Oryctolagus cuniculus: one gene and its partners. The protein of the gene in region 3 interacts with the protein of the main gene of each other region in a biochemical or structural test. Links are inferred from orthologs where the notes say so. Each region holds a gene or a part of one and is shown on either strand. Other genes may lie near its edges. The genes, in order: ABL2, PTPN6 and ERBB4.

The links.
Region 1: the proteins of ERBB4 (region 3) and ABL2 form a complex in vitro, tested with the Homo sapiens proteins (2 studies listed by BioGRID and IntAct, with this or other methods). The link is inferred for Oryctolagus cuniculus from reciprocal best matches to the Homo sapiens genes ERBB4 and ABL2.
Region 2: the proteins of ERBB4 (region 3) and PTPN6 form a complex in vitro, tested with the Homo sapiens proteins (2 studies listed by BioGRID, with this or other methods). The link is inferred for Oryctolagus cuniculus from reciprocal best matches to the Homo sapiens genes ERBB4 and PTPN6.

What each region holds. Positions count from the first base shown.
Region 1 is NC_091438.1:7,315,461-7,319,109, forward strand, and holds part of ABL2 (tyrosine-protein kinase ABL2), read right to left. Parts: intron 2,936-3,649; coding exon 2,758-2,935; intron 2,229-2,757; coding exon 2,044-2,228; intron 130-2,043; coding exon 1-129. UniProt on the Homo sapiens protein: Non-receptor tyrosine-protein kinase that plays an ABL1-overlapping role in key processes linked to cell growth and survival such as cytoskeleton remodeling in response to extracellular stimuli, cell motility and adhesion and receptor endocytosis.
Region 2 is NC_091440.1:102,583,763-102,587,411, reverse strand, and holds part of PTPN6 (tyrosine-protein phosphatase non-receptor type 6), read left to right. Parts: coding exon 1-20; intron 21-1,905; coding exon 1,906-2,037; intron 2,038-2,171; coding exon 2,172-2,326; intron 2,327-3,649. UniProt on the Homo sapiens protein: Tyrosine phosphatase enzyme that plays important roles in controlling immune signaling pathways and fundamental physiological processes such as hematopoiesis.
Region 3 is NC_091434.1:28,236,442-28,240,090, reverse strand, and holds part of ERBB4 (receptor tyrosine-protein kinase erbB-4), read right to left. Parts: intron 1,229-3,649; coding exon 783-1,228; 3' UTR 1-782. UniProt on the Homo sapiens protein: Tyrosine-protein kinase that plays an essential role as cell surface receptor for neuregulins and EGF family members and regulates development of the heart, the central nervous system and the mammary gland, gene transcription, cell proliferation, differentiation, migration and apoptosis.

The DNA of each region.
Region 1 (3,649 bases), on a different chromosome or scaffold from region 3:
TCGGGGGGCACCCCTCAGGTTGCTCCATTCGATAGCCTTTTTCCAGCAGATCATAGACCTGGGACAGGTCAATACCTGGATATGGTGACATTCCATATGTAGCAATTTCCCATAACAGTACCCCAAAAGCTGCAAAGGGGATTTAAAAAAGTAGTATTACTTCTTCTTTTTTATAGAATTACAATTTTTTTTAAAAAGATTTATTTATTTTATTTGAAAGGCAGAGTTACAAAGAGAGAAAAGGAGAGGCAGAGAGAGAGAGAGAGAGAGAGATCTTCCATCAGCTGGTTCACTCCTCAGTTGGGAGATCTTCCATCAGCTGGTTCACTCCTCAGTTGGCCACTACGGCCAGAACGGCTGATCTGAAGCCAGGAGCCAGGAGCCAGGAGCCTCCTCCGGATCTCCCACGTGGGTGCAGAGGCCCAAGGACTTGAGCCATCTTCTACTGCTTTCTCAGGCCATAGCAGAGAGCTGGATCGGAAGTGGAGCAGCCGGGACTTGAACTGGTGTCCACAAAGGATGCTGGCTCTACAGGCTGGGGCTTTACCGGCTACACCACAGTGCCAACCCTGTAATATTACTTCTGATTTACTACTTCTGTTATGAGCTAATCTCTCTCTTAACTTGTAATGTTTATCCACTATTACAACACTAATATATCCTTTTCCCAGTTCTTACAGTCTCACTTGTCCTAGAAGGTATCTGCTCCCAGAATACTGCAGATAATTCTCAGAACAGTTTTCTTTGAAATTCCCATTCCTGGGCCGGAGTTGTGGTGCATCAGGTGGAGCTGCCGCCTGTGACAGTGCTGCTTTGAGCCCCGGCTGTTCGTTTCTGATCCAGCTCCCTAGAAGTGCACCTGGGAAAGCAGCAGCAGATGGCCCAAATACTTGGTTCCTGCCACCCCTGTGGGAAACCAGGATAGCTCCAGGCCCCTGGCTTCAGCCTGGTCCAGACCCAGACCCAGACACTGAGGAGTGAACCAGCAGAGAGAGGATCTCTCTCCCTCTCTCTCCCTCTCTCTCTTTGCCTTCCAAATAAAGAAATTAATCTTTTAAAAATATATCAAGCTAACAATTTTTATTTCCATACCCTTTAAAATTCCAATGAGGGACAACAAATTATAACCATGTAAGAAGTGAGGGGGCAGAATCCAGCTATTCTCAGAACTGTGTCTGACATGCCTACTTTGTTTCACAATTTTCCAGTCGGCTAATATCAGAGGACTGAAATTAAAAGATCCATCTGAACGCTCCTAAGGGGCAGGCATTTAACCCAGTAGTTACGACACAGGTTGAGATGCCCACTGCCTTACACGAATGCCTGGGTTTGGTATCTAGTTCTAGTTCCTAACTACAGTTTCCTGCTACTGCAGACACTGGAGAGCCACACTGATAGCTCAAGAGCTTGGGTTCCGCCACCACATAGGCGGCCTGGGTTGAATTCCCAGCTCCCAGTTTTGGCCCAACCTTGTCTTAGCCCTTGCTGAACCAGCACATGGGAGCTTTCTCTCTCTGCCTCTGAAATAAATAAATACATAAAATCTACAACAGAAAAAAGAATTTGCTCAATGTTGTCACACTCTAAGAGTCTGCTGGATAAAATGACTCGGAATGCTACAGCCACTTCGGTCGGCTCACAGTGCAGACCTCCCTACAAAGTCTCGCTGCCCTTCAGGCTGCCAGAAAGCAGCTCTGCTACAAGGAAAAATGCAGGTGGAGAGGGGGCCCTGTATCCCCGAGCTGCGGGAGCGTGACGAAGCCCAAGGTGGAAGGCAGAGAGAGAGGGGGTCACAGCTTCACGACAGGGGACACCTGGATGGCTGTGACCTCTCTGAAGGCAGGGACTTCCCCTGTAAACCTTTTCTTTATGCTTCTTCCTGCACTAAGTTCCTCACACAGTGCTTGGCAGACAGGAGGGATGCAAGAAGGGGGAGATCAGGCGGAGAATTCTGAGTATCACATAAAAAAGACTCTAAGGGATCGAGAGCATTTATAATGAAGAAAAGCGGCACAAGCAGGAAAGTGGGTGTTGCAAGCTTACCCCACACGTCAGACTTAATTGAGAAGGTGTTGTAGGCAAGACTCTCTGGTGCTGTCCACTTGATAGGGAACTTGGCTCCGGCATGAGCAGTATAGGTGTCTCCAGTCATCAGTCTACTCAAGCCAAAGTCAGCCACTTTTACCACGTGGTTTTCTCCCACTAGGCAGTTCCGAGCTGCAAGATCTCTGTGGGATAGAGAACCCTGATGTGATTCCATTCAAATGGTGAGCAAAGTGGTCACAAACGCTTTATTCTCTTGTGCTACAAGAGCTGCTAAGTGCTGACAATCACTAACATGGCACAAAGTCACTGACTACACATCTCAGAGTACTCAGTGACAGGCAGTTAAGCAGGTTCTGAAGTAAAGGGACTTTGTGAAATGGGTTCCAGGTGACAAGAAGCTGGGACAGGTGTCAGAGGTGAGCGACAGCTGCTTTTCTTTAAGGTTTTAGGTCCTTCATCGAAACAGAAAGCTACCTTACAATTCAGCCACTAGAGGGAGCAAAAGGGCCTTGGTGCTGAGCAATAGAAACCCTTTGTTTTGACAAAGGCTCAGCACGGCACTTTGATCAGAGAGCAGTGGGACTGCAGGTTGGAAAGGACATCACGGGCCTCCTCAAAGACGTAATTACTGCCTGGATTCATCTGAGAACTTCCGGAAGGGTCTCTGCTCCTTCATCTCCTCATCACGGGCAGCACGCAGGCTGTACGTACCGATGGATGAAATTCTTCTTCTCTAAATACTCCATGGCAGAAGAGATCTGCGTGGCCATGTAGAGCAGCACCACGGCCGTCACCTCCTCACGGCTGCACTCCCGGAGGTAATCGAGCAAGTTCCCGTACGGCATGTACTCGGTCACAATGTAAAAGGGCGGCTCCAGGGTGCACACGCCTGGCATTGGAGAACAGAGCTCGTCTTACTAGCGCGTACGCAGAACAATCCATTTCATAGTTCTGTTGTTTGCTCACCAGCTTGGTGAAATCTTTCCCCTTCTTAGCACCTCATTTTCTGCAATTAATACAGCAAAATTCAGGACGTTGGCTCAGGGCAGGCACCTGACCTGTGGTGGAGACACCTCTTGGGGTGTCTGCATTCCACACTGGAGAGCCTGGGTGCAAGTCCCAGCTCTGCTCTTGATTCCAGTTTCCTGCTAAGATGTACCCTGGGAGGCAGATTCCTGACTCAGCCCCAGCGGTTGCAGACATCTGAGGAGTGAACCAATGGATGGAAGATCTCTGGCTCCCAGCCTTTCTTGAAAAGAAAAGGAAAAACAGAGGAGAGGAGAAGGACGGGGGGAGAGAGGAAGAAATAAAGAAAACTGAGAAGGGAGTCTCTGCTTCACTACGCTGTTCTCTGGAAATTCGTATGCCTTTGAGTATTCGCCTGTTTGGGCAGAAGTGGATTTACTTGTATTAACTCCATAAGGGGCTAAGACGACCATAAATAATTAATTAACTTCTACATCAAAGGCAGAAAGACAGAGATATATAGACAGGGAGATCTTCCCTCTGTTGGCTCACCCTCCTCTGCCCCCAAAATGCCCACTGGGCAAGGCTGAAGCCAGGACCTGGGAACTCCAGCAGCTCCTCCCATGTGGTGACACAC
Region 2 (3,649 bases), on a different chromosome or scaffold from region 3:
GCGAGGTGGAGAAAGGCCGGGTAAGGCTGAGGCCCCATTGTTCACCACCGAAACAAAGAAACTGAAGATGCCAGGGCAGAAAGGGACCTTAGGGGGTGAGGGTTTAACCCCTGCTGGGAGGAGGGGTGGCAACGCTGTGACGCAGTAGGTTAACCCTCCGCCTGTGGTGCTGGCATCCTATATGGGTGCTGGTTCTAGTCCTGGCTGCTCCTCTTCTGATCCAGCTCTCTGCCATGGCCTGGGTAAGCAGTGGAAGATGGCCCACGCAGGTGCAGGGGCCCAAGGACTTGGGCCATCTTCTACTGCTTTCCCAGGCCATAGCAGAGAGCTGTATTGGAAGTAGAGCAGCCAGGACTAGAACTGGTACCCATATAGGCTGCCGGCACTGCAGGTGGGGCTCAGCTATGCCACAGCGCCAGCCCCAAGCCCCATGTTTTAAACTGTCCTTCCCCTTACCGTGTTTGGAAGCAAAGCTTACTGCTGCCCATTCCCCATGTGTCCCCCTGCAGGCCCCTCTTGTTCTGTCTCATAAATGGCTCTGGAGCCCACCCCTTACTCTCTGGGCTCGCCCTTCCATGGCACCTCCTGTCCTGCAGCCAAAGTGACCCTGCCCAAAGCACACAAACTTGACCCCATGGCTTCCTCTCTGGAAACCCTCTAGTGGCTCCCAGCTGCCCTCCACCTGAGTTTTCAGTGTAAGGCTGGCACCCGTGGCACCCACCATCTCCCGTGGGTCAGGCTCTTCAGGCTTCTGTGGCTTTGCCCAAACTCATTTTATTCTCTCCCCATACTGTCTCTGTCTTGTCTTTCTTTCTTTCTTTCTTTCTTTCTTTCTTTCTTTCTTTCTTTCTTTCTTTCTTTCTTTCTTTCTTTCTTTCTTTCTTTCTTTCTTATTTACTCATTAGGGTCGGTGCTGTGGCCTAGTGGGTAAAGCTGCCGCTTGAGGTGCCGGCATCCCATGTGGGGGCCGGTTTGAGTCTGGCTGCTCCACTTCTAGTCTGGCTCTCTGCTATGGCCTGGGAGAGCAGTAGAGGATGGCCTGAGTCCTTGGGCTCCTACACCCACGTGGGAGACATGGAGGAAGCTCTTGGCTCCTGGCTTTGGGTCAGTGTAGCTCTGGCCGTTGTGGCCAATTGAGGAGTGAACCAGCAGATGGAAGACTCTCTCTCTCTGCCTCTCCTTCTCTCTCTGTATAGCTCTGACTTTCAAATGAATAAATAAATCTATTTTTTCTTTAAAAAAAAAAAAAGGTTTACTTATTTATTTTTTGAAAGGCAGGGTTACAGAGAGGCAGAGGCAGAGAGAGAGAGGTCCTCCATCTGCTGGCTCACTGCACAGATGGCCGTAATGGCTGGAGTTGGGTTGATCCAAAGTCAGGAGCCAGGAACCCCCTCTGGGACCCCAAGCGGGTGCAGGGGCCCAAGGACTTGGGCCATCCTCTACTGCTCTCCCAGGCCATAGCAGAGAGCTGGATCAGAAGTGGAGCAGCCTAGACTTGAACTGGCGCCCACAGGGATGCTGGCACTGCGGGTGGTGGCTCTACCCACTGTGTCACAGTGCCAGGCCCTCTGCCTCATTTTTGAAGACCAGCTCAAGTGCTGCCTCCTCTGTGAAGCCTCTCTGATTGCCTCCAGAGCCCAGGGGGGAAATTAGCCCCTTCTAGTGTGTTCTGTTTGTTCTAATTTTCCCTGCTCCCCAGTCCTTCTTGAGCTTCCGAGGTGCAGGGCACAGGTGGGGTCTCCTTTATATTTGTAACCTGCATTGACGTTTATTCTCCCAATTGTACGTGGCTGCTCAGGTCTCACCGTGTTGTCTGAGCCAAGACCAGATCCTAGGTGGCCCGACCGACCGCCAGCTCCAATCCCTGGGCCTCATTCCCCACCTCTACCCGCCCCTCCCTTCCAGAACAAGTGTGTCCCCTACTGGCCTGAGTTGGGCACCCAGCGTGTCTATGGACTCTACTCCGTGAGCAACTGCAGGGAGCACGACACGGCAGAGTACAAGCTGCGCACCTTACAAGTCTCCCCGCTGGACAACGTGAGTGTCCCCCGCCTCTGGCCCAACTTCCAGAGCCCCTGCTTGGACTTGCTGCCGTGTCTGGCTGGGTGGGATGAGGCAGGAAGAGGTGTCATGTGAGAGTTGGGAGCTCTGACCCTGTGTCTTCCATCCAGGGGAACCTAGTTCGGGAGATCTGGCACTACCAGTACTTGAGCTGGCCTGACCACGGGGTGCCCAGCGAGCCCGGGGGTGTCCTCAGCTTCCTGGACCAGATCAACCAGCGACAGGAAAGTCTGCCTCACGCAGGCCCCATCATCGTGCACTGCAGGTGAGCATCGTCTGAGGACGTCAGTCATAAGGAAAACAGCCGTGGAGAAGTGGCTGTTGCTAAGCACCTGTCGTGCACTGTCCTGAGCACCTTGCAGATGAACTCTTTAAAAAAAAAAAAGATTTATTTATTTGAAAGGCATAGTTATAGAAAGTAGGGGGTGGGGAGAGACAGAGAAGTATCTTCCATCTGCTGGTTCACTCCCCAAGTGGCTGCAATGGCTGGAGTTGGGCTGATCTGCAGCCAGGAGCCAGAAGCTTCTTCTGGGTGTCCCACGCGGGTGCCGGGGCCCAAGGACTTGGGCCATCTTGTACTGCTTATAGAGAACTGGAGTGGAGGTGGAGCAGCCAGGACTCCAGCCACTGCCCCAGTGGACACCGGTGCCGCAGGTGGCTGCTTTACCCAATACACCACAGCGCCGGCCCCACAGATCAACTCTTTCAGTGCCTTCTCCAACTCTCAGCCTCCTCGGCCCCCATCGCCTGAGACTCCACCCTCAGCCTGGGTGTGTCTCCTCAGGACCCCTCCCCTGTATGGAAACCGAGCCCCAGCAACCTGCCAGGTGTCAGCGGGAGGGCTGGCCTTGGCACTCACCGTAATCCCAGGTCATGGCAGCCCCTGTTTTCCCTCATGGCCTGCAACTGGCCCCCAGCACCTTCCCTCTGGGGTCAGTGTGGCCCCATCCCTCCTCTTTTTCCCTCTGCAGCCTCGGGCTTCTTCTTTGCCCCTCCTTGTCTCCCCCCTTCCCCAGCCAGAACCCCCCATCTTGGCCCGCAGTGAGGTGTGGGGATGGCGGTATCTTTGGGAGGGGCACACGCACCCCCAGCTCCTCTGCACACTCTCATGTTCAAGGTCAGGGGAAGTGGGGAGGCGGGGGTTCCATAATAGCCCACCGAGCCCAGCCTGGGCACATTGGGGGTGGTGGGGATGGGTCTGGGATGCGGGCCACCTGTTTCAGTCTGGTGCCTCCTGCTGCCAGCTGTGTGATCCGGGGCAAAGAACTTAACTTCTCTGACTCCCACAGTCCTCTTCTGTGCACTCAGGATCTCAGAGCTGTCATGAGGCCTCGGTGAGGCCTCCGGGAGCTGTTGGCGGTGGTTTTGTAACTCACTGTCAGGCAGGGAGTGGGGCAGTGTGAACCGGCTTTGTCTTCCCTTCCCGCTCTGTCCATGTGCCTCCAGGCCCATGAGGTCTTTAGACTGCCTCCTCCCCACCAGCGACTGTGTGTCCCCAGGCAGGCTGGATGGGCTGGATCCCGGATGGGCAGGTGCCCACGTGTGCTATCTCAGGGACCTGGCTCTGCCCTCCCAGGCTCAGGCCCAT
Region 3 (3,649 bases):
TTAATGTCTTGGTTTCCTCTCCTAATTTTGAAGACTGTCTATTTAAAATAGTATCTATTTCACCACATTAAGTATCTCTTACCTAAATTCTGTCAAAAAGCTTTGATGTAAATATCCTTGCAGTTAGAACTTAAAGGCAAATATAGGAAAGAAACTAATATTAGGACCACGTCAAAGCAAAAACAAAATTAAAAGAATAGGCTTTAAAACATAATTACTGCTTCAAACTTTGATAGAGACTTAAAAACTGGTTGGCCATTCTTACTTCCTAAGATAGAGACTGTTGGCAAAAGAAATAGGATTCTCTATCTCGGTTACTAGTGTATGTTATATTAGAAAGGGCTATCCTTTTGTTCTGATGGAAACTTTATTATGATTTCAGAGGTGTTGATTATGCATACATCAGTTCCTACAGATAGGAACAGATAGTACAGGTGTTTCAACCCTCTACATTAAAAGAAAGAAAAAAAGAGCTGAGAATTAGTTTGGCAGCAGGCAGTACTGCCTCACATGTTCGGGTCCTTTTCTAGCTGTTCCATTCTGCTACCAACCCATGCAGAGAAATGAAGAAACAGTGAAGTTCCACCTATCTTCCTCTTTCAGCCCTTCCTTCTAATGTTCACGTTACATAAGCGCATAACTATCATTGCATCTCTATGTCTTCCACGGGGAAGTGTCAGAACTACTGGCCTTAGGGATAGGAGGAAGGACACCAGAGCAAGAGAGGGGGTGTGGAAACTGGAGTGGGCTTGTCTCTCCACTTCAAAACTACACAGCTGAGCTTATACCACAGTATTCCGGTGTCTGTAGGGTGGAGGAGGCAGCACAGTGCCTGGCTTCAGTGAGAACTCAGAGAGGTATTCAGGATTCTCTGCCACAATGGGCCGGATCCGTCCATTCTGTTTATAAAAATATTTTGTGCTGTACTCCTGCAGGTAGTCTGGGTGCTGAAGGGTGCTCCGAGGCGGCAGGCTGTGGTTCCAGTAGTCAGGGTTGTCAAATGCTTTCTTGGCCTTCTCTGGCACAGACAGTACGTTGTTCTTCAGGTACTCCGCATTCCCCAAGGCATTGGCAAATGTGTTGAGGTACAATGGCTCATTCACGTACTCATCCTCTGCCTTGGGTGGACCACTAGAAGCCTTGTGATACTCAGGATTATCCAAAGCTTGAAGTTCTCCATTTTTTCTTCGAGAAACAAAAGGATTCTCTTCCACAGGATTCAGGTATTCTGAAGGGACACAAAAATAACAGTTAACATATATTCTCTGGAAAGCGTTTGTCAGATGAAGGTTATAAACAAAGGTCAACTTGTTTGTTGAGAACAAGAAAGTGGCACACTTGTTTCTCACAGCTATTTGTGGATTACTAAAAATGTTTACGTGGACCAGAAATAACAAAGTTAATAACAAAGCAAGGCAACAACAAGGTGAGGATCAGAATTCCTATCTCCCAGACTGTTTTTCTTTTCTTCTTAATTGTCTTTCCTACATATGGGACCAGTTATTTTAATGCTTCTTTTTTCTAGAAGTCAGTAATTTATATTAGAAAATAAGATTACCTATCAGGCTAGAAAAATGTAGAGAAGTCAGAATTCTTATAAAGCATATGGTAAAACAAAGGATTAATAGCTTAACTCTACACCACACTGAAGAAATAAAGTAAAGAAATAGTTGTTTCAGATTATATGGTTTCCTGTGAATGTCTGTACAAGTAACAAGGATCCCACTGAACTTTTATATGTAGGAAGAAGAGTATCTAAAGAAAAAAATGAATGAAAACATCTAATATTTTCTAGTTGGCTCTCTGGATTTTATATATGAAACTGCTTAATAAGAAAGTATAATTACAAAAATAATTTTCAATATTTAATCATAATGGAAAAATAGCAAACTAAGTTTGAATCATATTAAATAGCTGTTTTGTATCTTGAACCAGTCATTTAGTGCCTATTTTTGTATGGCTCAGTCTACTAAATCCATCTGGTATAATAAGTATTAGCCTAAAATACAAAAATGATGATAATTAATGCTGCTCTCCTCAAGCTTAATTGCATCTCTATGTATATAATATAGATGACATATAAACATATACACACAGATGGAGCAGATCCTTTTTTGGTCCTTGCTTTTACTGCATACACAAAACACTAAGTTATTCCTATTTTTGAGTCAGAACATGGATATGGCACAAGTCTTTGTTCAGATGCCATCATTCTGAAATAAACTTTCTAAACCCTATACTTAGCCCAACAACATGTAGAAGACAAAAATTCAATCAAGCTCTGAATATAAGCATTTTGATAAAGTTAATCATTAAGCATCATTTGTGAAAGTCGAAAGGCAATAATGAATATCCTAGATTCATATAAATATATACAAATGAATTAAAGAAAGCTCAATAATTTCTAAAACACTATTGATCCCAAATGACTATCTTGTGAAAAATGAGGTGCAACCTTTACTTTTATAGCTTTATAAATAGTAAACTTGTATTTTCTTTTGTGAATACAATCTACTCATCTATTGTCCTCATGTAAACTTATGTAACCATCTGGTTATATATGGAGAAAAAACATTATGGTTGAATGACAATCTTTCCAGAGAGGAGTCTGCTTTCAAGACAATCTGCCAAATCTTCAGAAAACCTACATATGTGTCACCAAGATACAGTTCATCATTAAATTAAAACTTTTCTATATCTTGACAGATTATTTGAATTTATAATATGTATTTAGGGAATCTCTAAATTATATTTGATAAGTGAACATAACCACATAGAAAAGGACCCATACTGAGCCATAAAATAGATGTTGAAGCTGCCACTGAAGACTCTGACAGACATGATCATTGCTTTCTTTTTTTAAAACATTTAGTTATTTTATTTTAAAGTCAGAGTTACACAGAGAGAGAAGGAGAGGCAGAGAGAAAGAGGTCTTCCATACACTGGTTCACTCCCCAGATGGCTGCAATAGCTGGAGCTGTGCCAACCCGAAGCCAGGAGCCGGGAGATTCTTCTGTATCTCCCATGCAGGTTCAGGAGCCCAAGGACTTGGACCATCTCTACTACTTTTCCAGGCTATGGCAAAAAGCTGAATAGAAAGTGAAGCAGCCAGGTCTTGAACCTGTGCCCATATGGGTTGCCGGCACTGCAGGTGACAGCTTTACCCATGATGCCACAGCGCCGGCCCCATGGTCATTGTTTTCTAATAACAATCATCTGTTCATCTGTCCTATCCATTTCATGATGCCATTAACATGGAAGAAAGCACCTTGTGGCACTCCAAAAATTTTTTGAATCATTTGATGTGGATGTTTAACAATTCTACTCTAACTTTACAAAGTCATTGTTGTGTCTTGAAAAACCACAACCTGTTATTTTCAAGACTTGGAGGTATACATATAGGTATATAAATGTCACATCTTTAATTTTTGAAATGTGTCTTACAAGAAATCATAATTTCCCATAATAAACTATATTATTCAAGTGGCACTATTTAAATGGATCAACCAAATCTTTTATTGGTGTTATCAAAAGCTTCAGACAAGGGCCAGTGCTGTGGCATAGTGGGTAAAGCCACAGCCTGCTGTGCCAGCAGCCCATATGGTTTCCAGTTGCACCACTTCAGATCCAGCTCCCTGCTAATGTGCCT